Schizosaccharomyces pombe: one gene and its partner. Changing the gene in region 1 together with any one later gene gives a genetic interaction. Each region holds a gene or a part of one and is shown in the gene's direction. Other genes may lie near its edges. The genes, in order: SPOM_SPBC3H7.05C and toe2.

The links.
Region 2: of SPOM_SPBC3H7.05C (region 1) and toe2, changing one suppresses a phenotype caused by changing the other (phenotypic suppression), as found in Schizosaccharomyces pombe (one study listed by BioGRID).

Annotation. Positions count from the first base shown.
Region 1 is NC_003423.3:1,864,856-1,876,157, forward strand, and holds SPOM_SPBC3H7.05C (uncharacterized protein), read left to right. Parts: upstream 1-8,943; 5' UTR 8,944-9,603; coding exon 9,604-10,677; 3' UTR 10,678-10,802; downstream 10,803-11,302. Other genes in the region: elongator complex subunit Elp6, read right to left, coding at 1-476, 559-753; palmitoyltransferase Erf2, read right to left, coding at 1,542-2,594; SPOM_SPBC3H7.08C (uncharacterized protein), read left to right, coding at 4,397-4,465, 4,535-4,586, 4,747-4,988; phosphoserine phosphatase Ser2, read left to right, coding at 5,479-6,276, 6,348-6,446; F-box protein Pof9, read left to right, coding at 6,992-7,356, 7,427-8,465; SPOM_SPBC3H7.04 (mitochondrial 37S ribosomal protein mS42), read right to left, coding at 11,042-11,302.
Region 2 is NC_003424.3:1,013,525-1,031,612, forward strand, and holds toe2 (protein toe2), read left to right. Parts: upstream 1-8,145; 5' UTR 8,146-8,392; coding exon 8,393-9,283; exon of another isoform or gene 9,284-9,322; coding exon 9,323-10,270; intron 10,271-10,311; coding exon 10,312-10,350; 3' UTR 10,351-10,611; downstream 10,612-18,088. Other genes in the region: dnf1 (P-type ATPase), read right to left, coding at 1-1,804; post-transcriptional RNA stability regulator Mkt1, read right to left, coding at 2,842-3,145, 3,206-5,303, 5,345-5,351; oac1 (anion transporter), read right to left, coding at 6,088-7,050; fap2 (L-saccharopine oxidase), read right to left, coding at 10,652-11,953; ssd2 (succinate-semialdehyde dehydrogenase), read left to right, coding at 14,792-16,273; histone acetyltransferase Hat1, read left to right, coding at 16,706-16,763, 16,814-16,917, 16,979-17,197, 17,287-17,402, 17,474-17,837, 17,894-18,088.

The DNA of each region.
Region 1 (11,302 bases):
TCATCCTCCGGGGTCTCGCATATTCCACTACGAAAGTGATTTGGCATTCGAGAAAGACGCAGGAATCCGGTGATTCGTCGAGCGCTACCGCTAGTCAAAGGCCGACAGGAAATACATCTAGTTGCCATGTGTCCGATTGAAGAGCCTAAAGACTTTTGTTGTGGTAACGGAGCTCCCAAAGTCACGTTTACAATGACTCTACTGAAACATTTTCGTAATTCCAAAATTGCCTGCTGAATCTTTGTGGAATCGAGAGCATGAGTACTTTGTAAAATATCAATATCTTCTATGATGATCGTGGAGTTTTCAAATTCAAAATCGTTTTCCTCCACACATTGGATCACAGGCGCGAAAACAGATTTGATGTGATTTTTGGTTTCTGGTGCTTGTACCTTCGAAGGCTTGGAAATAGGAGCAAATAGCATGCTGAAGCCATCGATAAAGAAGAAATTTTTTTTCGTTTTAATATCCATTCCCTAATATTGGTTCAGTAGGTTAGTCATACGAATAGTTTATCATTCAACCACTTATGCAATCGTAATCCCTCTTTTTACATACCCATTTACGCATACTAATTGCATGCTCATCTAAGGTTTTACTGAATGTTAAAAAACAAGTACTTTCCTTTGCTTTCAACGCATGGTATAAATAATAATGGAACAGAAATGTGACAGGTGTTTCTCTTGTTCCCAGTAGCAAAGTTAAAGAAAAAGGCTCAGGAATGGGGCGTAAATGCTCGTGTAAAGAAGACATTAGGTTTAAGAGCCGTTTGTCATTAGTTTTATAGCCTAACTACAGTAACCAGCTTTCCGAATGGTTGTAGAGGGTGAATGGAAAACACAAGCCTGGGAACGGAGCAACATGAACCAGAGTAAGAATGAACAAGCCGGTCAGTAATGCAAAGCTAGTTCTAATATTATAGAAGTTTCAAGTATCAAATTAAAGAAGTCTAATACCAAATTATTTTCCAGAAAACTATCCTCTAAATGTGGATAAGCTATTTCATTAAAAAAAGAAAAACTATCTACCTATGGAACATTGATTTGCCTAAAAGGCAATCATAATAATAAAAAAGAACAATAAAGAGCAAATCCCAATAAATTAGACTGGAAAGGGGTTTAGCTAAAGGAGGTAAAACCATCTATCTATCATATAAGTCATAAAAACAAGCAGCATTACTTTAAAAATAAAAGAGAGCAGCCAAATTAAATATTAATAATTCCAGAGATTGGTGAGAACAAGGAATAGTTTTATAAACATTTGTTTCTGTACATTGTTCTCTGTAAAGTACAAAGGGCGAGCTGAAGGGGTCGACGACAAGGATGAAAAAAAAGAACAAAACATTATCCAGGTAAAAATTTTGAAGAGGGGAGTAATCTTTTTTATTCCGGTTATTAAAACCAAATTAATTTCGGTACTGAAAAGTAAATTGGTAAGGGGAAGATGAAAGAGTGTAGCATATATGCGTGAGCGATTTGAGCATTATTGTCTAGCAAATAAAAAATTTTTATTTCTTATTTTCTTTGTGAAGCCAAGGCATATTACACGTAAGACTTCCTAGTGGGACGAACGTAACTCACATTTTTAGGACGACAAAGGACAACCAGAAAATTGAGCCATATGCTGTCATGAAAAGGATGTACATCTTCAGTTTCTGTACTCTTTGCTCGTAAGTATTCATGAACATTCTGACCAACAGATATTAAATAGCACTGGTAACAGAAAAGGATGCCAGGAAGTATTGCTCCAAGTGCCCCATAAATGCCAAGGAAGAAAGATACGCCAGCCCATGGACGACGAAGATGCGCCGCAAAATTTGTATCTGTGGATTCATGAAAACTTCCTATAGAAGTATAGAACCCCAATCCAGTTAGATACAAAGCTGAAAGAACGACAGATAACAAAAAAATAAAATAATATCTGTAGTTTCGACGACCAATGCAAGTGTTTAACCAAATGCAGTGATGATCAAGGTATTCAACACAATTATCACATAAATGACAATGGCTTGCACGTGGAGGACGATATAAGTGGCACGTATGGCAATAAACTGTATTAACAAAGACAGAGTCAGACCGAGTGGATCCAACAAGGACTTTACGGTCTTCAGGAATTACAGACCAGGGATGGGCAGGGTTATAAGTTAAAGAATATGCATTTCTAGGAAGAATTCCTGGATCAGCAGTCGAGCACTTGAACATGGAAACAACGGCTAAGGCATACAGGTAAGCAAAGGTAATAGGGACAGCGGGAGAGACATGATGCCAGAGCCAAAAAGCAGAAAAGATGAAGAAAAGGACTCCTGGAAGAATCAAGGCAAACAAGCTAATGAGGAAAGCTTTGTACTGAGATGACATTTGCAATCGACCACAACATAAATAGATATTGTTTCCTGGTAAATTCTTATATCGGCTTTCAATATGCGGTACTTCCGGAACATCATCAGGAACGGATTGAAATCTATAAGGAATTTGGTTCTTTTCTTCCAAATTCATGGGATACGTTGGATCAGACAAAGTCACCTCAAATGGATTCCATGGCTGATTCCACGCGTAGCGGGATGCCTTAGCATCACTGTGTTTCTCATAGCTCATGATTATATTCTCTAAACAACAAACATGGCAAAGAAACAGCTATTTTTACACCTGGTATTATATCTTGTAGTTTTGTTGTCGGTAAGGATATGAACCCCTTTTGCGATGGAGGGTGAAGTAAATATTAGCATCCGCCAAAGTTTGTTTACTAAGCAAATAAAGAAATCAAAATAAATAAACAATTAGAGAATGTGACTCTAATAACTAATATTTGGAATGGCGCCTATTTAATCGATGAGAGTGTATTAAAAAGAGAAGGGAAATAAAAACAGAATATGAAATGAAATGCTAAAAAAAAAAATACTAACCGAAGAAATAAAATTAATAATAATAAATAAAGTACTTATTTTTTTTTTACGAATAAAATGTAAAAAAAATTATTTAAGAGTGCCAATATATTAGTATTTATATTTTTCAAACTTTTTATTTAAATATATTTCATCGATACTGTAATTGGAACATCCTGTCAGTACAACAATTCAGGGCTCAAAGTTAGAAAAATCAAGTTTAATAAATTATACTATCCGTGCAATTTCGGGTTTGTAAAGAAAGTGGATAATATATGGAAAAATTAGTAATATATGACTCGATAAAGACTCCAAAGACTAAGATAAAAGACCAATATCATGGGAAGTAGACTAGCTAGTAAACCATTTTCATCTTGTGTATTATGTTTTTTTTTTTTTTTTTTTTTTTTAAAATGGCTAAATAACTAGCAGGAAAATAATGGGAGGGTGTAATTGAGAAAATATTAGAAATGAAGGTACGGAAGCAACGAAAAAAGATCTTAAAAGTTTATTAGAGTGTTGCAACTATTGAAATTATGATTATCGCGAAGCTATTAATGAAAGGGCTAATTTAAAGGATCATCTCTATACTTTCACTAGCCCCGAAATAACCCAATAACCTCTATGGCTTGTAAACAAATAACTCAAGAAACACGGTATATGGTCAGTTATGGATGAAATTTTGAAGAAAAATTATTACTAATCTACATCTAAGAAAAACCATCCTGGCTTCATTCACTGTATTTAGTGGAAATGTAGTTCACAAGATTATCGAATTAGATTGTTATTCCTCAATATGCATGACTCCAAGCGGTCCTTTGGTTTTATTTCCTGTTTTAAAGGGAAATGAATTAAATTCTTATTCCTTAGAAAATCTCAATGACGCTTTTAAACGTACTTGTACATTGGACCTACTTTACTGGAGAAACATTTGCGGTCAGCAACTACTATTAAGTTACTAACCTCATGGCAGCTAAATTTTGAAAAATGACTATATTTATTTATAATGGTACGAACCATTTTTATTTGTTTGCGAAGTTTTTTAGTGTTCTCTTCTTATTATTTACAAATATAATCTTAGGAAAAGTTTAGTAAATAAGTGTCCTAACAAATTCTATAGTATAATACAAGGGTAGAGGTAGTATCTGAAAAGTATTATAAAACTGTATAAAGCAATATAAATACAAGGGCGGTTCGATCCCGATTGCAAACGCTGGAAAATCTAGAAATATTGGAAAGTTGCTTCTTTCACCACTTTAGTAGAAGGAGTTGGTGATTATTATGATATTATTATCCATTCAAATTTGAATCTCTTAATGCGCACCGTTGCTACGTCTTGTCTGCGTCAGGTGGCGATCCCCATAAATATTGATGCTTGTCATAAATGTTGCGAATGTTCGCCTACGTATTTCATTTTGACATTTACAATCATAAAAGGATTTTAGATCCTTTCCATCTCGAAACAATTAATCAAACTATTCAAGCGAACAAGAACTTTTTATTTTTGGAACCATCATGTCAATTATGCGCTCAATTATGTCGAACCGCCTGGTTCGCTGGTCAAGAGAATATCCAGAACTATTTGTAAGCTCAATTTTTTTTTGAAAAATATATTGAGTTGATTATTTCGTAAGCTGATCAGTTTGCTGTTAGATAACTTGGTGTGTCATGACTTATACCTTTGGAGTTGCTGGTTATATGCTTGGTATGTTAAAAATTAGTAGAAAATTAGAAATCAGCGCAGTTAATGAAACATTATACTCAATTTTAATATTCTGTTAAAATTTTCCTACAGAATATTTATTTTACAAGCGCATTTACATATGATTGTTTAAATTAAATGATTGTAGCTAACAGTTTTTTAGGACAGCGGGGCTTGTTGGTACAACATGAAGATCAAGTCCGAATTCCTTCAAAAAATGCTCACCCCTGGGAAGACACCAAAAGCAGTAGCGGAAAAAGTGATGAGAGTCTTGATTATAGCTACAAGTATTATCCTCGAGGAGATAGGAGTAAAGAACCTCGAAAGGCACCTTCTGCTATTCAATACAGCACTTTTCCCGTTAAAGGTGTATCAGAAGAGGTACTTGAGCGATTCTCTAAGTAAAGCACATTAAATTGTGTATAACCTTTTAGGAATGAAAGAGAACAATTATTACATTGCCAAATATTTTTTTAGTGCTTTTTCACTTTACAAATATCTCACTCTCTACTTTATGGTAGGCTCTCATTTTTGGAATATTTGCCCTGATATATTGCAATATTTCCAAACATCTTCTTAGTTATGATTTCTTGCTTTATTGCTTTAATGTATAAAAAAAATATTTGCTTATTAACCTGTGTTTGAAAACGGAGTTTAGGCACCACTTTACCAACTTCACAATTTATACAGCATTTTGAAGATAATGATAAATTTGTAAACAATAACAAAAAATAAGCTTGTTTGAGATTTTCAAATAACTTAAATTGACCTAGTACTTGTTGTCGTTTAACGTTAAGCTTAATCAATAGCCGAGTAATTAGTAAATGGGACTTGCCGAAAACAACGCTTTTCAACTTAGAAAATTTAGCAAACCCACTCATACCTTTTAATAAGCATGGTCAACGCAGCCATAGTTGTTTCCTCAAATCGTCCAAATGTGCTTGAACAGATTTCCTCCTTGTTTAGAGATGGGAAGACTCGTTCTCTGGGGGAACAGTGGACTTTAGTATCAGGCCAACTTAAAGGAACGTTTGAAGATGCTAAAGACGCTTGTAACCGCATTTCTGCTACTGAGAATGTAGACTGTAATTGCTTGAGTGAAGCAACATTTTCCACTAAAAAGAAGCTTGTAGTATTTGACATGGACTCGACGTTGATTCAACAAGAGTGTATTGACGAGCTCGCGGCAGAAGCAGGCATCCAGAAAGAGGTTGCTACGATTACATCTCTTGCAATGAATGGGGAAATTGACTTTCAAGAATCACTTCGTCGTCGCGTTTCTCTACTACAAGGGTTGAGCGTCGATGTCATAAATAAAGTCATTGGCAAAATTACTTTCACTCCAGGAGCTAAACAGCTTTGTCATTGCCTTAAGCAAATGGGTGCGACTCTTGTTGTCGCTAGTGGTGGATTTGTTCCAATGGCTGAATATGTCAAGGGACAACTGGACTTGGACTATGCATATGCCAATGTACTTGAATTTTCCGATGATGGTAAATTCCTCACTGGAAAAGTTCAAGGTGCAATTGTAGATGGACAACGAAAAGCTTCCATTTTGCGTGAAAAGAGGGAAGAGTTGGGTTTAAATAAGCTCGAAACGATGGCTGTTGGGGACGGAGCTAACGATTTGGTCATGATGGCCGAATCCGGTTTAGGAATTGCGTTCAAAGCTAAACCCAAAGTTCAATTATTGGTATGTTCGAAATTTTTTTACAAATTTATGTTTTTAATGATCTTACTAACTCGATTTTTTTTTTTAATTAGGCTGATTCGAAAATCAATCTTCCATCTTTGCAAAACGCTCTTTACCTCTTGGGTATTGATGAGCAACAACAAAAAAAGCTATTGGAAAACAAAAATTAATTTAGAATTTCCAAGAATTTTTCAATCGCAAGGCGCTGTCAAGAACTCTGAGCTACTGTGGCTTGGTTTTTATAAAGCAATATTTTACTTGTGCGCGTGGTCTTTTTTTCTGTAGTAGGAGCCGTCTTTTATATACCCTACTTCTTTATTTTTGATACTCTTATTTTTCTTTTTCCTTAATTTACAATTTTGGTATGATCAATGCTTCATTGGAAAGGGTGTGCAATGAATGCTTAAAAAAAAAGGGGCAGTTCAGAAGCTTTCTTCTTTAAAACAGACAAGAATTACTCAATTGGTTTTTATAAAGCCGATCATTTACTCTTAAATCTGCTTCGTTATGCTGATAGACTTTGAAATTGATTCGTGCAATGACTACACCTTCGTTTCATAGACCTTTCTTTATTATCATTTATTAATTGTAAATAATACAATTGTATCTAGTTATTAAGAGTTGCAGAAAACATGTGCTTTTGACGTATTTCAACACCGTTTCCCTTGTATATATTCAGAGGTATTCATATACTACTACCCATGCGAGATTCATTATGGCTAAATCACCATTCCTGGAGCTTTCTTACGATATATTGCTAGAAATTAGTACATATCTTGATTATAAAGATATAGTTCATTTGTCAGAAACATGCAAGTCACTTTCGTATGTTTTTGACGACAAAACAATTTGGCATCGATTTTGTGCACGGGTCCAAGGTCTCACCAATGTAGTCCCAGTTGTTGATGATAATTACAAAAGACCCTATGCTGTATGGAAAGACCGAGGATACGCTTACTCATGGGGGCAACAGATAAGAAACTATTTGGGCCGCGTCGTCAATACAAATCAGTATCCTCGAGATCGTCCTGGTGCATTGACTGGGAAGGACGTTCGTTCTACTATTCAGGTTCAAGTTGGGTAAGCGCATAGATACAGGAATTTATTTGACTGCACTACAATGACTAACTATTCCCTATGCGGAATTTAGAGGTTATGGGATGTATTTATTAAATGAAAACGGAAATTTATATGTTACGGGGGTACCAAACAATGTTGGGCCCGAATTGATGAGAGATTTAGAGCCAATTGTGAAAATCCATGCTGGTCGAGAGTTTTGTCTTGCACTCGGTGAGACGGGACACTTGTATCAAGTATCTCTAAAAACACGAATTTGCTTGACAGATGAACAAAATATGCTATCAGCCTATCGCGGAAGAATTGCTAATTTTAAATCAGGTTGGGACTCGCATTCGGCGTATGTGCCGGGCATTGGCTTTCTTGTCTGGCACACTGGACGAGAAAGTGAAGCGCAACTTTTCCAGCCAGAGGCATCGATGAAGGAATTCGTGCTGAACGATTATGTTCACTGCGCAGGATTCCTAGTGTATACTGTCGCATCACCTCAGAAAAAAGGCGCCGTGTTTCGTTTAGACCTGGACCAAGCTACACAACACACGCTAGGAAGAGAATTGAAGAGGTTCGCTTCGCACGACCCCCATCAAGGTTGGCATTTAGCAGGCAGCTTTGAAACTTTCACATGTTTATCGGACGATGGCAATACTGTTTACATGGGTCATGCTAATACCAAGCAGGTCGATGATGACCCGGTTATCCACGACTTTCTCCAGAACCGAGGAATTAAGCAATTGGCGCATGGCGATCATCATCATCTTTACTTAACAAGCGATCATTCCATATGGTCGTGGGGTGTTGAATTACGTTATTGTGGGTGTTTAGGTTTGGGTTCTCTTCATTTGCAAGAACAGACATCTGATCCCAGCATTGTTTCTGATCCACGCACCGCACGCAACATCGTTTCCATTCCACATCAAATTCACTTTTCAGGAACTTGCTATTCAGTTGCAGCCGGCGGATGGCAAAGTGCTGCTCTCGCCATTTCGGAATCTGTTTTACCCGAAGTCAATGTGCCTCCAATTACAACTTTTTCTATCATCCGACCATCCAGAGTTCCAGCGTTGCGCTTTTTAGCTGCCCCTGCGACTCGGACTTTGGAAAGGGACGGCTAGGTGAAATAGTGATCAACTTTGCTTGGTAAGCTAATTTCCGCGTGCGCACTAGAGAAGGATTTTATTTTGTCCGCTAAGTAAGTGAAATAAATAAATATCTCGGCCACCTCGGACTTCCGAATTTATCTCTATTTTTACTAATTCCTCTAGGTAAGCCAATTATAAAAAAAAGCAGCACAAGGAAAACACAACGGTGATTAAATAAGTGAGAAAATTTTTTTTCCTTCTTCCTGTATCGCAATTACATAAAGTACACACATTGACCAATTTATATTCCTGACCCCTGTGAATTAAGTTACTGTGCTACTACGACGAGTTTTTACCAAACATTATTATTTTTTTTAATTGATTTGGACTGTAAGGAAGGTTACCGATTTTCATATTAAATCCTCGGTGGTCAAAATTTGTTGGGCTCTTGCTCTCTATTTGTCGTTTGCGTTGGTGGTTTGTAATATTCCTAACCACCCCATTTTTTTCTGGCGACCCTAACTTGGGGGTTTTGTTTACAGATCCAGGTGTCGAGAAAACCGGTATTTTCAGGCAGAAATCGATCTTAAGAGACGATTTTTTCTTGTTGGGTTGACTACCTTGTACCTGAAATCTGTTGTGCGAAAATTTCCAGATTTAAAAAATCGTGGATTGATTGAAGGGCAATTGAAGATTACGGGATGCTATTTTCCTTTTCATGCAATTAGCAAGTATTACTGATTTATTTGTAATTCCACAGTGTCTGATTTATTTTTGTTAACAACTATATTATAACACTTTTTTTTCTTTGCCTTCATCATCATCATCATCATCATCGTTGTTCTTTGTTTCTTTCAATAAGCATTTTGTCATTTTCTTTTATCATTATTGTCTTTTTTTCATATTTTTGTCGGTTGACTGATTGATTGTAAATAAAGTCTCATAGTTATATAGAGTGTGGTTTGCCTTTTCTTATTGTTTCGCCTTGTCTTGTCTTGTCTCGTCTAGTGTTGCTTGTATTGTCTTACCCTATCTGTTCTTTTTCTTCACTTTTGTTTTAACTGCGAATTTTCTTTCTTACTTTTTTGCTTTTCTTCCTTTCCTATTCCTCCACTATAAAGTTTTCGGCGTTTGATCATCTACGAACACGATCTAAAATTCAATTACTTTCATGTATCCATTTTCTTTCGATCCTTCTTCCAAACTTCCAGTCACAGGTATTTATAACATCCTTCTGTTCAATCTATTCCCTTTAGCTACATACCTTGTCGAAACCTTTTGTTTTTTTCGCCGGTGGAAAATCGCCTGCACTTTGTTATGTTCCATCACGGTTATACTGGCGTATCGCATGTGTGCTGTCTATCACCATGTTGGTTATAAGGATGTCTCTACATTTGGTTTGGCATATGGCTTTCTCATTATGATGTCGCTTCGAACTTGCTTTTTGAGTTGGCGAGATATGGTACCTTCTCGCAACGATCCTGTACAAATCAGCGCTGTTAAGCGTCGTCGACCATTCATTCGTAACGCTAGGTGGAACTTTGTTGATTATGCACTTTCTTTGCGCAAGTATGGTTGGACTGACGACGTGGTTCCCCCTTACTGTAGAAAAGTGCTGACTTACAAATCTTTGGGGATACGTACTGCTGTCTATGTGGGTGCATTTTGTTTTGTCAATTGTTTTAAAACTCGTTTATCCAATTGGATGTTGCTTCCTATATCAGCCAACCCATGGTATATTCAAGTCGCATTTTGCGTAACCTCTGGATTCTTTTCATATTTGTTTATTAATGCCTTGTACTATTTATTCGCCATTATTTTTGTTCCTCTGGGAATTTGGGATATTGCAGAGTATCCATTAATGATGGGAAATGTATCTAAAACCACCTCGGTTAATGATTTTTGGTCCAGAGATTGGCATGTTTGTACCAAGCCCTATTTCAGAGTGATTGCTTGGGATCCAACTATTGCCCTCACTGGAAGTAAGTTTCTGGCAAGTTGTTCATGTTTTTTCCTTTCAGCATTATTCCATGACTTTGCCTATTGGTCAATTTCTGGACGCTGTTCACCTGCTTTCTTTTTTCAGCTTTTAATTCAACCTTTCCTTATTAATCTTGAAAAAAGGATTCCCCTCTTGCGCAAATATCATTATTGGGTCCTAATAATCGAAATGCTTATTAATGGAACATATGGTATGGGAGTCGTATTATTAAAATTTAAGTGGAAAACATGCTCGCAAATTTAATTTACTGTTTAATGTCTATGTTTGACCTTCCGAAACCTCTAAAGTATCAGATAATTGCTATGTGTCCTAGTTTATACATTTAATGGATGGTTCAACTAAATTAACTTTTCCGTAGATATTGTTGGAATGTTAAATAATATATAGAGGGAAACATTACATTTAGCATTCTAATTCTCATTCTTTGCCAACAGTAATTACAAAACTTTATTTATTTATAAGATTTGTTAATAGTATGGGTTTTTTCAATCAGATAAAGTGAACCCATAGTAAGCCACCATGATCACTTGCATACAAAACGTAGCCGGGAGAGGAGGGGAGAGAAGTAGAAAAAGATTGAAAATTGTGCAGGATTCAGTCGGGTTAGCTAAAGGGATTCAATGCGCGTAGCTTGGAATCTATTGTTGACGACCGTCCAATTGATCATATCCCACCATTTTGTAATGTACATTTTTTTACCATTTAAACCATAGTCGTCAAGATACGCATATTGCCAAAGGTTAACGCATAAAAGCGGTACAATTGCATTGGTACGAAACTTAGGAAATCCTGTTCCCCAAAGAAAGGCATTTGACGCATTGTACGTGCATAATAAGGAAAATAAAGATTTTTCTGGACTATATACCAA
Region 2 (18,088 bases), on another chromosome or scaffold:
CCACTTTTTTTTGCCAAACAAAATAGGCAGCAGTACAATATATAGCCATGCTAACAACCAATGCAAAAATGAAAATTACGATTCTATTAGTGACCTTTTGCATTGATGGTGCCTTTACACTAACGTTTCGAACAGCATTCATGCGAATTTTGGATTCCTCGCCAGTAAAAATAACCAAAGCGAACAATTCTGAAGTATTTCGCAAATTCGAGCCTCTGTAAAGAACATCGTTATTAGACAATGGTATTTCTCCTTGTATTGAGTCAAGTTTCATACTTCCATTAAAATTGTAAAGATCACCATTCGGGTCTTCAACAGTACACGTACCACTCAATCGTATTAAATCATTAATGTCTTTGCAAAGAGAGCGGAGCGTGGAGTTTACTAGTCTAGTTTTCAAGGATGTTTCACCATCAAGTGCAGCTGTTTCGATGTAAATAGCGCCATTAGGATTGGGACTCGACAAAGCTATTACGTCTGCTGGAAGAGTTTGATCACTTGTCAGTCGAATAATATCACCAACTCGAACATCTTTCCGATCACAGCTAGCCCAAAAAAAAGTAGGCTTATTTGCAGGTATGGAGCGAGTAGTAGTTAAAGTAGAGTTATACAAGGGGGGTTGCGGGTCAATGTTAGGTTTGACACTTAACGCCGGAGAAGAGGGGGAAGAGGGAGAGGGAGGAAGTTGAGGTGGATCTTCTGAGGTTCTTTCAGGTTCTCTTTCATCAGTTGATCGAATAGTACTCCTTGAAGCAGATTCTTGAGATCTACTTCTTCTCCACCGCCGACGACGAAAAAAAGATGAGTGCTCTTCAACAATAGGCGGATCTACATCAACGTGACGAAGAACTTGAGTTTGAATTCTATTTTCTACGCGGTCTTGGCGATATCGCCGATAATTATCAAACCCTTCACGAAGGATTGCAATTGAAATAAATATAAGTAGAGGGATGATTGTAGTGTAAGTACCGGTGGTTGACCAACCTGGAATCATTTGCATAATAGCAATCAGCAAAAAATAACAGTTGGCAGTTTTTGAAAATTGAGCAATGATCTGTAAAGGGACAAAATTGTATTTGTTGTACCGAGACGAAACAATGCTGTTTTGCATATAGGGCTTTCCTGTACGCTCATCAATTTGGGAGGAGTCATCGTAAGGGTTTATGATAATTATTCGACCATGACTCGACTTCAAATACCGTGTATCACGCGAAAACAAGTTGGATAAGAAATTGGAAATGAACTGCAAAGGATTTGGTATTGTAAACTCTTTATGCCGCGACTTTAAAAATTCCGGAGGAATTGGAGGACGCCCATTGAACACAGGTGATGCCTCACGAGGAGAAGTAGGCTCAATATCATCTAATGGGATTTCTTCCACAGGTCCCTCTAGGAAGGAAACATGTGCTTTCTTCTTTTTTCCCTTTCCTTTCGAGGTCTGCTCAGTTTTGGTAGATGGAGTTAACACTGAAACCATAGAATTAGCTGTCAGTTCTAATACCGACTTGAAAGATGATTTCAGTCTGCTATCTGATGGCGAATTAACATCGTGTGATTCGTCAACTTCAACAGAATCCAATTTTTTGCTGTCCCCATTTATATCAATTTCATCAAGCTCATTTTCATCAATTCCTAATGGAAGAGCGCTATCCTGAAATCGTACATGAATATCCTCTCTTCGTTCGTTAGTGCCATCATCTGCAGCGTTCCAATTAAATGCACCATCTTCTTCTCGATTAGTCGTTTCATTTAGAAAATTTGTTTCAAATCCATTGGAATCGCCTGCGATACCACTAGACTTCATAAGTGCATCTGAACAAATAATGTTGGTTGTTGCTAGATTCACACCAAATGGAAAATCAAACTATTATTTGATGGTAGCTTGCTGAACCACACGGGACATTGTGCTACGCCTTACAAAATGAGACTACACTAATAGCAGTTCATTAAAGTTAAGCTTAATGAACTCCACAGTAATGGCTTACGCTTGCTTAAGACTTTCTAAATAGTGTGTCAAGTCTCGCAATATGCAATGTAAACAATAAGTTACAGAGATTTTGATTAACTGTCAGTTACTTCAACTACTACCGTTTATATTTAAAAACTGACATTGTCAGAATTTTGTTAACTATCGACAAATATTATTAGATGTTAGTGTGAGAATTGGAGATTCTCAAAGCTAGCAAGTTGTCGTAAACAGCATCTATACAGTAAATATCTTAAAACAAAATTATACTATCCAGCTTGTAAGTGGTTAAACTAAGCAAGTCTTTCTGTAAGCACAAGGTTTTTAATTCGTGAAATTGATTAGGTAAAATTATGTTTCTGATGCGAATTCGGTTTTTTGTGAGTGAGCCAGTACACATAAACTAAAATCTAAAAAATCCGCTTGAACTTATCAAATAAGTTAAAAATTATTCCCATACTATAGTGTAAAAACAACGGTATAAGTTATTTTTTGACAGGTAAGTGTATTGCTAAAAATAAATATAGTATCCTTTAGAACAAATTAAACTATATCTATAAAAAAGTTTAAACATCATTGGGTTTTCATTCAAAGCTGTGCTTCTCTATTTTTCTTTCCCTTCCTTTTTTCGGGAAGAAACAATGTAGTTGAATATTAATATTAACAATACTTTACTTGTTCGAAATAATATCTCAACAATAATCAAGTGTAATCACATGAGTGTATAGCATGTTGAAAATGCTTCGACAGTATGAGGGAAAGTAATTCATGTAAATGTGCATTATGACTGTGCCGAATGTGTTAAAAGCTCCCGCTAAAAGAAGGATACTTCTCTCACTAATTTATTTCTATTCATAAACTACTAGTTCTGGTCTTCATAAGCCAAGAGAAAATATCCATTGGTTAGTAAGGAAGAGTTTACTTAAAACGAGCTTGCCAATGGCACTTGTATTTTCTGCTTCCTTAACCCCTTCCATAAAAGTTTTCCAGAATTCCAAAAACTGGGCAATATGGTTTTCCGCAGATCCAATGGTTGGGAATTCCTTTTCTATTATTTCATAAGCCTTCTGGATGTTTTCCTGTTGAGAACTGGCTTCTTGCTCTTTTGAAATGATTTCAAAAAAGCGCTTGACAACAAAACCTGAGACAAGGCTACCATTTATGTTTTGAAAAGGTAAGCTAAATTGGTTAGAAACTTTAAATATAAACAAAAAAGGAGAAAGAGAAAAAAACACGTACGTTTTTCGGATAAGTTTAGGATCTATTTTGCTTTTGTCGACGTTTCTGTTCAAGATGACCGAGGCAAGAATCATGGCCATGAGTTCCTTCAAGTTGGATCCGAAGCTAGTTTGTAGCTGATAAAACTGTAATAAATTCTCATCAACTATAGAAATTTTACTAACTTCAGGTCTCTGTTTTATTGGTAGAAATGTTGCAACCTTTGCCAAGAACTCTGTGGCAGAAGTTATGGATAAATCGGCGATGCTTGCACTTGAGGAGGAAAGTAAAGAGGGCTCTTTTAATTGTCTTAGTCTAAGAAGCTCGAATAAAACAACAACGGAAGTTTGGTTCTGTAAGTGACAATTTTCCAACGCTTTTAACAAGGGGCATCCCCAAGATGTTAATTGATGAGATGTTAAAACGAAAGATCTAATTTGCAAAAATCTGTAGCAAGAACTTAAGACGATTTCCGCAGTAGAAGACAGAGGATGCTTGGGAGGGTTTTTTATGCCAATATTACCTTCAGTGCAAAAGCTTTTCTTTACAAATACCGGATCGTTCAAAGCACGTAGTAGATCAAATAATACAACGGGTTCTTCCTTTAAAAAATTACTAGATAAATAACTCGGTAAGTTTTCTTCGTATATCATCCATGCTCTCGTATCATTATACAAAGGAGGATCATAGCTGTGCATTACCTTCAAAGAAGCTTGCTGATTATGGCCATGAAGGGAAACAATATCTCTGGCTTGGTAAAATCTGTTAAGCGGTTGGGTCAATAAATTTAGCCCCTGCGACCATATTTCTTCTAAATCGTCAACAAATCGCCGTTGATCCACAGCCGCTACAGCTGCTGCATTGTCGCGACCAGGATTTAAACCAGAATTAGCACCAGAAAATGTTCCTTGTGATGCTTTGTCACCAATATGTTGTTCAAGTATGGAAACAGGATCACTAAAACATCCAGATACTAAAGCACCTATCATTTTGCAAGGAATAAGACCGCGAGAAATGTAAAAATAAATCTCGTTGGGAAGACGGGTGCCAAAATATATATTTATGTCGTTAGGAACAGATTCTGTGGGAACTGGTGGTAAAGTGAGACCTTTTGTATCCATCACAATTCCAAACTTAGAGAAACAAACAGCCCTTTTGTACTGTTGAAGATAATCTTGAAAAATGGGCTGGGGAAAGATTTCAGCAAAATGAAGGACTGCACGATACGCAGAACCAAACATACGAACAAGCTCCATTGCGCTTTTAATTAGAAAAGTACCCTCAATCTGAGGAAATGTAGGAGAAATAGCAGTACCACACAATAAACAGGAATCGATGAACTGCTGCCATGAAAGGCCGTTCGTGTCTTGAAGAAGGGCATTTCCATCTAACCATGTGAATGAACTTTTAGCGGCCGAATTGATAGTTGTTTGAGTTGATGGGGATGAAGGGTCAGATGAGATTTTAACGTTAGAAGATGTGTTCATAGAAGTAATAAATTTTTTAACACCAAAAAGAAGCAGATCCGTGGAACCATAGATGGCATCGATGTAAGGTGAAGATGTGCCGTTTAGAAAATATGCTAATTGAGCCATAGCCAGATACGGGGCGACAAAATACTCCACATTACATTGATCTAAGTAAAACTTTACCTGGTCGCAAAGACGATCTAAATGATCTCGCTGATTGGTGTACAAAAGTGTTGGTTTACTTTCGCCGTAATTCGCAGGACCACTTGCGTCCATGCGGTACATATTACGCTGAATATTTGCATCATAAGGATCAAAAGCTTCGAAATCTGTCAATGCACTATGACTTTTTTGCTTTCCCGGCACTTCCAGCTGGCTGCTGGCTTCAAAGGTAAGAGGTATACCATTGAAAACAAAAATGGGTGTGATATTCTCAGTTCTCAACTGCTCAAGGAATTCCGAAATTCTGTGTTGTAGATATTCGGATTCACCATTTACTGCCAAACTTTGAAGTTCCTGTGGGGTAAAGGAATGAATAATTTGAGTCAAGTAAAAACTTGCGTCAATACCCAACTTACAGTTTTGAAAACTGCTCAAGCTAGATTTATGTTGATGCTTTTTGTCTATGATAAACAAATTCAATGAACGAACTAAAAAATTAGCAGATGAGTAGCAAGGTATTTTAACTTACTTGTCATTTTTTTTCTTTTTTTTAACTGAATTTACCAAACAGCAGTTTAAACCGTAAGGCGGTTTTTTTTTACTAAACCTTTAATAGATCCTTAAAAACAAACAGATTATTTTTATATGTAACGGATATATTCAGATTTTATTATGTTGTACTGAATAGAGGTGTCCGATCCGTTTATTAGAGTCAGCAGGAACGAGCAAATTAGTGAACACGAATACTACGATAAGAAGTTCAGAAAATATTTTATTAAACTAACATGATTTATCTAAAAAACATATAACTGTTGGCGAAATGTAAAGATTTCAAATAAAAACGACGCAAAATGAAGAAATTTATCCATTGTGACTACACAAAGCGGTAATGTTTCCAATCTTTAATTATAGAGAAAATAAGTATATTAATAACTAAATAAAAGGTAAGTTGATATACAAACGCAGCCAGATGCCTGAAATCCAAAAACAAATACGTACATATATTGAGATAACTGACGGATATATATTACAAAAGACAAAAACATGCCGATTGATCAAAAACAGCTTGAAAAGAAAAATCGACTTTTAAATGAAAGTAGAGTGGAAATAAGTAACGAGACAACGAATGTAAATAAAAATCGTTCTTAGATACAAACATCATTTCTTTACAATTTAACTGTTCACTTGATATACACCAAAGCCACTGGGGGTTTTTATGGTTTAGTACCAAAATTATTTATAAATAAAGAAACGTGCGTTTGAAAAAACAACTTAATCCTTTTGGAATTTCAAAAAGAGTTTATTGGTTTGCTCCACGAAGGTAAGACAGAAAATTGTGTGAGGAGCGATTCTGGCCAAGTGAGCACCAAAACCCTTATATAAGGCAAAGAATCCTTCAGAGCGGATTGTTTTAAGGATGCAATCAATCGGATTTTTATAAAGCTCCTTGTTCTTTTGGTTGTACATACGAGTCATAACAGTATCGAAAATTTGCATGGTGCAGCATACACCAAATCCAGAAACAGCACTAGCAGTTAAGTGTTTGATCATACCCTCTTCCAATAGATTGTAATGCTCAATCATGCGTTTAGCCCAATTATAGATAGGAAGCTGAACAGAGGAACCAGAGACAGTACGGAGAATGGCAGCATCAGCACCAACAAACAAACCCTTAACACCATTTTCCTTAATAATACGACTGAATGCATTAAATATATGCTTGTAACCATACTGCTGGCCAACGGGAAATTTAGGAGAATACGACTGCATGCGAGTCTTAACCAAGAAAAAGGGAGAGCCAAACAAGGCACCACATAAACCTGAACCGGCGCCACTTGCAACGTTAATAGCTAATTTATTACCCTTGGGATCATCAAGGAACCACGTATTCAGAGTACGTCGAATCGGTTCGTAAAACCCGAGACGACAGCCATTGAGGCAGATTTGATAAACATAAGCAGTACCAAGGCCTCGTTGAAGACCTCTTATACCTTCATGTCTAGCGATTAGAGAAAATGCCTGACCGACGCTTTTGTAAATTCGCTTAGAAGGATCCAATTTTGTCAATTGACCTTGAAGTTGAAAACGCGTTTTAATAACTTCGAAAGGATTTGTCAGTGTTACAGCACCACAAGCTGCAAGACCACCTGACAAAAATCCACTAACGGGACCAAGTTTTTTCACCTGAGTAGGATTGTGTGCAGGAAGGGCTTTGATAGTTTGTTTCTCAGACATGACTTAATATTGGGATTTTTTCTTCGAATTTAAACAAAAAAATCTGCCTCAAATGGCAATTCAATTTGCGTAGCAAGTGTTGGCCGAAGGAAAAAGAATTCTTGCAGTTGAGATTTTTTCAGTGATAATAGCCTTGATTAAATTGTGCGCGGAAAATTTACCATTGCGGCAATTTGGGAAGGCAAAACGTAACTTTCGTACGGACTCAAAAAATAAGCAAAATGATACTAATAAAAAAATTATAGATTGAATTGCAATTTTTTTATTTACAAGGCACCCTAATTGCTCTATACTTTTTCCATTTTAATGCTAAATTAAACAGGTCACATGTTACTTATGTTTACTATTTGAAAATACAGATACTAGAACGCACTTAACCTCTTTAAATTAAGGATTTACCTACAATCATATATATTTTTTTTTTCTTTCTCTGTCCTACAAATATTTGGTAGAATTTTAAAATTTTTTGAATAAAAGTCATTTGAAAGTTTGAGTAATGTTTGTCAACAATAAATGCGATCGTTCGAAGGAAGGAAGGTACACACAGTTAACATTTAACTGACTTTACACTTTAAAATAGGATTCGTTGGAAACGCATGGTAGATAATGTTAAAGTAAGACAAATGCAAAATCATAGTAGCAGTAGCTTTAGATGTCATTCACTTCTGCAATGTTGTACTATTATAAAGAAAATGCCATAAAGTGATTCAAATAAGTGCATGCTCTCAACCGTCTACCCTTAACCAAAGTTCTTACTCAGACAATTAAGATGCCTTTTAGTAAGATTTTATACATACGGGGTATAAATTGTGATCAATGAAAAAAATGCAAGTACTAAATTTGATGGATAGTTTGTCGCAAGGCAGGCAATTGAATTTTGAAATAGAAATCAGTCATATTTAAGAATGGTAATTTGTTAGTAAATGCATTAAATCCCTGTGTAAATTATATGTTTCTATTTGAGTGCTTTACGTATCTAACGCATGTTATCCGAAAGCTGTCTGCTGTTGAGATTGCTTACTATTGAAATTAGTGGATATTTATAAAAGTTGTCCAGTGTGCCTTGTGTTTGGTGTTACGAATTTACTTTTCGCCAACATCCAAACACAAGTGTCTTTGGTTCAAAATCAGTATAGCAATAAGATTTAAAGATATAATTCTTGCCTATTTAAAGCCAAGACTACTTTTTTATATATTACGGAATTAACTTCTTTTCGCTCCTGTCAATTGGTCGCAAGTATCATTTTTTTGACGTCTATTGATTCAAGAATTAGAAGAATCTAGCATTCAATTGTACTTTATCTTTCACAATATTATATAACTTGATGTTTAAGAAGAGCATATGAGTGAAACAACCAAGTCTGGTTCTAAAAAATCAGGGCAGACATCACGTAGGGCGATCCATTCGTGTTTGGCTTGTCGAAGAAAAAAACTTAAATGTGATCATGGAAGACCTTGTTCCAATTGCTTAAAGCGATCAACAATCCAGTCATGTATTTATATAGATCCTGGGAAAACTAATTATGACAAGCGCTTTGAACGGGGTAGCGAAGCTGACGAATTGATAGATCAGTTACTATCCCGAGTTAGCATGCTGGAAAAACGTTTAAATGAGGTCGGCACTAAATCGCAATCTGATTATGAAAACCAACAATCTCATAATCTTCCTTCCACGCCTTCGGCAGATGCTGAGACACAGCGAAACATTGGTTCTCTTTCAGTATTAGATGATACAAAATCACAATATGCTAACTACTCGTCCTCTTCACACGTACTCTGGCATTTAAGGAATTATCATTATCTTAACTTAGATCAAGATATTCAAGAAGAAAACGATTCTCTGATTAGTCCGTTTTTTTTTCGAATATCCCCCAATGAATCTGCATACGACTATTTACCCCCCAAAAAAGTATCGGATATTTTAATTGAGCAGTTCTTTTTTCGGTGTCATATGCTCATTAATGTTTTACACAGACCAACTTTTTATGTACGATATAATGATTTTTGGGAAAAACCGCACTTGCGAAAACCAGCTTTTACTAGTTTATTATACGCAATCTATGCTAGTGCATTACTAGCTACACCTGTTGAAGTGCAAAAGACATGGGCGCTTGGTGAAGACGAGAGATATCTTCAGGTAGATTATCATCAAGCTTTTCGCTACGCACTGGCTTCGTCTAATTTTCTGTTTGAACCAGATCTTAATGCTTTGCAAGCTCTTGTTCTTTGTCAGGTTTGTGATATTGAAATGGGTTTAACTAACTCAATTTAGGTTGTCTTTGATTCTGACCGCATTCGCGCTCCACCTTCCTTAGTCGGCTTGATTCTTCACGTAGCGCTATGCATGGGCCTTCACAGAGATGGCTCGCTTTATGGACTTAATCCGGTAATTTCCGAGATTAGACGTCGTGTGTGGGCGAATATAGTCTTGTCGGATCTTAGAACTTCTGAAACTATTGGTTATCCTCCTCAAATTGTTGAGGGAAATTATGATACACGTCTTCCCTCTGCTTTACCTGATGAAATTCATAATGTAGATTCTTCCGTTATTATTTCTGAGGCCACTTTTGTTAACATTATCACGAAGGTTTCACGAGCATATTCAAAGTGTTTGAAAGTTTTGCTAGGCATTATAGCTCCTAATTATACACGTTTATTAGAGCTTGACAGGGAGCTTTCCAATTTTTTTAAAGAATTGATAGAAGTGAATATTCCAACTAGTAATACTATGCACGAACGGCATATTCGACTTTTAGTTTCCTATTTGTCAAACAGATTCCCAATTCTCTTGCATTTTCCGTTCCTTTTAAAAAAAAATTCTGCACAATTCGCCTACAGTCATTCGCGTGCTTTGGAGTCCGCGACTCTGGCTTTAAACCAGCTGTACGAACTAGGCAGCAATCCAGAATACTCAAAGTATTCATGGTATCTTTGGAGATATCCGCCGTTTCATCCCTGCATCGTGCTTTTGCTCGATTTACTAAATTCTCAAAAAATCATTTATTTGGATGATGAACGAGTTGTTCTTTTAAACAAAATATTTTCTCTTTTTCCTCGCAGTTCTGGTAAAGAGCATTATCAAAAAGCCTGGGCACTTTTACAAACTTCAAGGGCAAAAGTTTGGGAAAAGCTTGGGTTGAGCACTGTCGACGTATCGACCACTGATGTGAGGCTTACAAATTTTGAATTTTTTGATGCTAACAATCTTGATATCAATTGGGTATGTATTATGTGTTTGTGTTTCCAGCTAACAACTGCTAGGATGATTGGGATGCTATATTTCAACATTGTCCATTCTAAAGCTTATTGCAAATGTCTATTTTTTATTATTTTATTTCGTCACATTACGCGCCAATTTTGTATTTAAAAATTTATTTATGCCAGTTCTTACAATTACAGAACAACTACGTCCGCTAAAGCGATAAGGTTAGTGAAATGTCAACTGGTCAGATTTAAAGAGTTATTTACGTTTGTTTGTTGTCTTATAATACGCTGTAGTTTATCTATCGAAAATAATAACATAATAAACAGATAGTTAAATATATAAATGCAGCAACAAAACTGTGAGTAAAACTATAGGATATAAAACAAAAAATTAAACTCACTTGTCGTAAGTAAACTCTGCATCCTTGTAATCTATCAAAGAGCGAACACATCTCCATTTCAGTTCTGAAGCTTTATCATCCTCTCTCCAACGCCATGCATCTTTCCATTCTTCAGATAAATCCCCTAAAATACGTTGTGCTATGTATCTGCCAATATTGGGAAGAAATTTGAAAGCATGTCCGCTATCTCCGTTTGCGACAAAAACGTTATCAAATTGAGGGACCTTGTCAATAAGGAAGTTTGCATCTTCGGTGTCAGAAATCCAACACATCTTCGTGTTTATCAGGCTGCGGTCTGCAAGATCAGGCAAAAAGGTGTCAAGGAAACGGCGCATTTGAATAATGGCATATTTTGGTAGACTACTTTTAGATGGTCCGGAATGAGGAATGGAAACAACTTTTGAGTTTTCGTCGTAGTCGGTCTCAACGTTACATACGTATTCATATCCGGTGCTGGCCAATTTTATGAGCTTTGTCACAGGATAAGGAGGGAAAGCATAAGCGCAATCTGGATCAAAAATAATAGGCATATTTTTGTAAGTCTTAAATTCTTCATCGGTTAGCTGAATATGCGCGACCGGTAAACCCTTAGCACAGACACGATGAGAAGTATTTAAATAAGCGTTCAAATAAGCACCAACAGCTAGTAAAATAGTATCAGCATGATATATAGTACCGTCCTCTGTTTGTACTGATACATGATTGTCGTTTTTATCAATATCAGTTTCGGAATGATTGACCACAAATTTTTTGAATTTACCGGCTTTACCAAAAACAAACTCAACTCCTAGCTCCCTAGCCTTTAACTCAAGTAATTTTAGAGAAGCAGCTGAATTCGCATAACCAGCGTGTTCATTTACGACAGCTTGCATGTCTGAGCGCAGCGGTGAATTAGAAAAAAGTGAAGGATATTTTTTTCTTATTTCTTCTGAACTGGAAAGATTAATAAGAGCAGAGTCTCCTAAAAGCTTTCTCAAGTTTCGTTGGGCTACCTCATCGAAACGAGCTCTGTATGGGTCTTTGGAAATGGTGCTTAAGCGGCCGCATTCGAAATAAACAGAGGACAATTCTGGGTCATTTCTCCATTTTTCCATTGCTTCCAACGCCAATTTCATATACTTAAGATCTGCATATTCTGGCCGAACAATCTTGTTGATATCGTTTGCTGCAGACATGCTGGAAGGAACGGGTTCGGCATCAATAGCAATGATATTATCAAAGGAATGATTTTTTGCCAATTCAACTGCAGTTGAAAGGCCAAAAACTCCACATCCAACTATGACAATGGTTCTCGACATGGCTCAGTGGGTACTTGATTATGGCTAACGGAATGAATAAGGGAGCCATCAACCTCGTGGTCTATGCAATGAACAATTTTAGCATCCAGGCTTCTCGCAATAAATTTATATCAATCAGTCACAATGAGAACAATATAGTGTTGCAAAGATATTGATTGATTGATTCATTAGCAAAAAAAGAAGCCTTCATTCAGCTAGATAACCATGTAGTAATCGGTTCCATTTGATTTTGTAAGAAAATGGTTAAGAAATTATCCTCAACATAGGGTAAGGTACATAACAAAGATCAAGCAATTCGACCAACAAAGGAAGCAGAGATGTCTCAGAAATTCTTCATTATTTGAATCTCCAATTTAATGCATTATTAACATAGGCACGTGCTATTCGTTTTAACAATTATTTAGGCACAACGGTATTGGTGTTGCTGGATTGAGCGCAAAGGATGCAAACGTAATGCTGTGCTGCGTTATATGTTCCAGCTGATAGTTTTAAAAGCCTAAGTTTCTTTATTCGACCTGCAAATGCCAAGTTGCGTTACTGTATTATAAATTTTGGACTGATTCAGCTCTGGCTTTATGTTGATCTGATAAACCGAATGAGCTAGCAGGATTGCAGCATTCATTATGCTGTTTCCTCGTCCTCACAGTTAATATTAACTATCTTCTTCCTTATTTGGCAAACCAGTAAGGCATCACAATAATCCGCTTTCCATAAACAGCGGCATATGAGTTGCAGAGCTTTGTTTACCAAATACTGTATCGTAACGAAGAGCAAGAATAGAGGGCTACGTAATAAAAAAATCGCCGCTGTGCTAATGCAATCGTTACGTTTCATTTAAAAGCATCAATCCATATCGTTATACTAAATCAATGTTTACAAAATTCGCAGAATGTTGCTAAATTGTAATGCAAACAAACTATTGTATTAGTAAAATATTATCTTTTTGTATGTCTGGTTCATGAAAATCTCTAGAAAAAAAAAGTAGTAAATTTTTCTTCCACCTTAATAACCTAACCTATGTGTCAATAATAACCCAAGTTAGTCTCGCATTATGATTTCAGTGTGACATAAATCGACTTTTGTCAGTTAAGTGATAGTTAAAAAATAATTAAGAAATTTATGAATTGTTGTTGCATGGAAAATTTTCTTGGCACACCAAACATATGAAAATTCGTTTAATGATTTAACTGCCGTCTGTCTGAGTTTAAGAAAATAATAAACCTTAGCAGAAACCAGAAGTAAGAAAAGAAGGTATGTAGCATAGAAGATTCACAGACATAAAGCCGATATAGCTTTGTATGACAATGAAAATTTAATGGCAGGATGAGAAATAGCAAAATAAATCAGGTTTGAGCTTTTTTCAATTGTTGCGCATGTCCAATTTTATTTTATTTTTTTTTGTCAAATTTTTAATTGATAAAATAAGATATCACCAAAAATAACGAGTATATATTGTCGATCTTCATTCTTCAAAAGTGATAAAACATTACAAAGATTTATTCAATGTTAATTTTGTAAGCATTTTCATGTTATGGGATTTTTAATCATTTACTTGTTTTTTATTCGATACTACAGATTAATGTTATTTGCATGGTAAATTGTATAGTATTACTTTAAGCGCCGATCAGTAATAAAGAAATTTTAAAGAAATTATCGATTCTTTCATATTCTTCCAAAAATTACGTGCCCATATCAATCGGACATGCTTCTTCCATTGCTGCACTGAAAAAAAAGCCATTGTGTATTCGTAAAGCAGTAAAAAATGGAAACATTGCGATTACAAAATTTTAAAACTATGTAAACAAACGGTGAATGCACTGTATAAGATCCATGCAGCATATACCAATTGAGTTTTTTATTTTTTTTTGGGTACTATATGATAATTGTCAACTTTAAAATAAAAGTTGGACACCATATGAATAAATGAATTTTTAAAATTAAATATGAAATAAAATATATGGAAAAAATACGAAAAAAATTGATGGTAAATAAATTAATTAAAATTAAATTAAATATGTAACTTACTATACTGATAACTTTAATAATCGTTAGAAAAGCAAGGAAAAATTAAGCACGGATACCACAAATGTTTAATTTTATTTTTTGATAAAAGTTTCAATACTATTTTAGTTATTTATTTCACTCCAATTATGTCGCTAAAAAAAAAAAAAAAAAAAAAAAAAAAAAAAAAGAAACCGCATTAATACAAAATACATTTTTTAATATGAAAAGCGAAGCGATTTTACCCACTGTTCTTTTCATACTCATTCACAGTAGCTGTAGCTTATATTACTGCCATTCAGTATAGTAAAGTCGGTACATATTCACATATGGTGGCACTCAATTATATGATGTAAAAAATGCAATTCCACCAAGTTCGCTATATACATCATTGAAGAAGACGGGAGCCGTAAGCTAACAAACCAGACACTATGATTTATAAGTTAGTCTGCCGATATTTACGCAAATTCAATACGCCTTTCTTTTTTTCCAGGGGAAATGTTTGCATACACCAAGAACATGATGTTGAGACGTAAATCTAGTACGGAAAACCAAGATGCATACGTTATGGTTTGATCATTAAATGTCTTGTTGAAAAATTATAAATATGCATCGTTTCTCTCGATGTTTACACTACATTAAAAAAAAGAAATCTGCAGCTTAATTTGAAAACACTAAAAAAACCTGCATTCTTCTTTTTTCCACGAAAGATCTGTTGCTGCTTACGCTATTATTTGTTATTATTATAAATAATAATAACATTTCTATCGATAACTTCGTTTCATATAGTTTTTAACATTTACTCCTTCCCACTTTTTTGTATAATACTCTTCAAAAATGGCCCCTCAATTCAAACGCCCTGAGCTCTTTGGCTTTGATAAGTCTCATGCTCAATCTTTTGTTCAAGGAAAATGGATTTCTTCTCCTAACAACAAAACTTTTGAGGTTGATAACCCAGCTACTGGTGAAATAATCGGTAAAGTGGCCGATGTCTCAGTAGAGGAAACAAAAAAAGCCATCAGTGCCGCTAACGAGGCCTTCAAAACTTATAAAAATTTTACTCATGTCCAACGTAGTCAGTTATTGGAACGCTGGGCAGAGCTTATTATGGAGAACAAAGACGACTTGGTCAAGATGCTTACCTTAGAAAACGGCAAGCCTTTGAGCCAAGCTGAGATGGAGGTCACCACATGTAGCGGATATCTTAAATGGTATGCTGCTGAAGCCGTTCGTACCTTTGGCGATGTAGCTCCTTCCAGCTTACAAAGTCAAAACTTTCTCATCTCCATCAAACAGCCAGTTGGTGTCAGTGCCTTGATTACTCCTTGGAACTTCCCCGCCGCCATGATTGCTCGTAAAGGTGGTGCCGCTTTGGCTGCTGGTTGTACCGCTATTTTCTTGCCTGCTTTCCGCACTCCCTACGTTTGCTTAGGTTTAGTCAGGTTGGCGCAAGAGGCCGGTTTCCCTGACGGTGTCTTAAATGTGATCACTTCTTCTGATGCATCTGCTCATGGTAAAGAACTGACTACCAACCCTATCGTTCGTAAGGTTTCCTTCACTGGTAGTACTAATGTCGGTAAAATTCTTATGGGACAAAGTGCCAGCACAATCAAGAAGGTTTCAATGGAGTTAGGAGGTAATGCCCCTTTCATTGTATTCCCTGACTTCCCCATTGATCAGGCTGTCGAATCTTTCTGCACTATCAAGTTTAACTCTTGTGGTCAAGTTTGTGTCTGCCCTAACAGAGTTTACGTTCACAAGAATGTTTACGACGAATTCGTCAGCAAGCTTACCGAAAAAGTCAAGACCATTAAAGTAGGAGATGGATTTGACTCTTCTTCTGCTGTTGGCCCTTTGATTTCTCAAGATGGATGCAAAAAGGTCAGCAAGCACATTGAAGATGCTGTTTCAAAGGGTGCCAAAATCACTGTTGGTGGAAAGGAGATTTCCTCAAGCAAAGGTTATTTTTTTGAACCAACCGTGCTCTCCGGTGTAACTCAAGACATGTTGGTTGCTAGCGAGGAAACATTCGGCCCACTCGCCTCTGTCTTCAAGTTCGACGACACCGAAGAGGTGATCGAATGGGCTAACGACAGTGATGTTGGCTTGGCCGGTTACGTCTTTACCAATAACTTGTCCACAATGATCCACGTTGCCAAAGAACTAGAGGTGGGTCTTGTAGGTGCCAATATCGAAATGGTTGACGAACCATTTATTTCCTTTGGCGGCATCAAACAGAGCGGTTTTGGCAAGGAAGCCGGTCGTTTGGGCGTTCAAGAATTTATGGTGGTTAAGGAAATCAATCTCAAGACTCTTTAAGGATTTTCGCTTTAGAAAGCTGCATATTATTGAACAAGCAATGATGTCCTCTTTTGGTTAATGACTAAAAAATCCTGATGTTATGACTGTTTTACATGTTTGCGATACAAATCGTATTTTAGTTTAATGATATCAAAAAAATTTAATACCTGAACATCGTGGGTCATCGATGAAGAATGGATTGTTGTGTCAGAAAATCTATACTTGTAGTTATTGTTCTGAGCAATCTGAAAAGTTATAAAGAATTGTAGGTTCTAAAATTGGCAATACTGGAGCTAGAAATCTATATAATAGTAAATATTTTTTAATAATAACAGGTGTAGCACGTGAAATTTTGCGTCGCCTTGTAGTTTGTTACTTCCAACTAGACACATGTATTTTTTGTTGTTTGACTTGAAATAGGGTCAGGTATTCAATTTTCCGTATGCAGTGATGAGTGCTGTTGATGAATGGGTACATAATGCCAATGAATGCATAGAAATTGTACAAGGTATGCTATGTTAAATTATAATGTTTTTACCTTGTGTTAACACCTGTCAGTAAACGAAAAGCATGAAAAAGATTGTCAATACCATCCTAGCAATACATATGCAATATTTGGAGATGCTGAGGTTATTTATGGATATAAAGATCTAAATGTCACTGTAAGATTAAATCAGCAAGTTTTAGTCATGAAATTTGATTGCAAATAGTAACAGTTATTAGATAACCTATGAATGCCCATTGATGGTCCCAAAACTGGAAATCTCATATTCAGAGCGCCTAGCACCAGATTCAGGAGTGGAACCAACTGATATTGAAGGAACATTAAACACTTATCTAAAAGATCGTTCCATTAAGGTTGAAGGAAACTCATTTGACGTTCATTCGGCAAATAGTATTCATAACTATTCCTTTAATGGAAAAACATTCAAGATTTTACAAGTATGTTCGATTACCTTTCAATTGGAGAAGTATTCAATTATTGAATATCCCTATATGTTCTTTGGCTAATAATCGTAATGTATTAATAGGCAACGGTTCTTGAAGCTAGTGAGATTATGCAGCATTTGCAAATATTTTCCTTATTTTTTATTGAAGGGGGCTCTTTTATTGACCTTAATGATCCAAGATGGATGGTATATTTACTGTAAGTTTGTTATTTTCTACGCGTCTACTTTCCTTTTACCTTTTTATCGAGGTTTTATTAACAAAAATAAGTTACGAGACTACTGAAGATGATTATTGCTTACGTGGTTATTGTACTGTATACAAATATTATAAATGGGACAAATTAATTCACGATGGTATTCGAGCTCGTATCTCACAATTCGTGATTTTACCCCCTTTTCAACATCAAGGACACGGTTCGCAATTGTACAATGCTATTGTTAGTACCTTTTTGAAAAATCCTAAAATTTTAGACTTCACAGTTGAGGATGCATCGGAAGCGTTTGATAGCCTTAGAGACCATTGCGACTATAAAAGATTATTATCAATGGGAATATTTTCAGAACCTGACTTTCATCCCTCTCTTTCTAGGCAGTGGATAAACTCGAAAATAGCTGAAACAAAGTTAACCCAGGTTCGTAATTTGCTAAATTTACCATGCAATGCAACTTACTAATTGTCTTTTTTTAGCGTCAATTCTCACGCTGTTGTGAATTAGCATTTACAACGAAACTAAAAAAGCTTTCATTATTGGAGCGGAAATCTGTTAGACTAGGAATAAAGGAAAGGATTTTTCGTCAAAATCTTGATGTGTTGCTACAGTTGGATAAGTCCGAACGTATTGAAAAAATTCATAACGCCTATGAAAATCAGTTTGATGAGTAT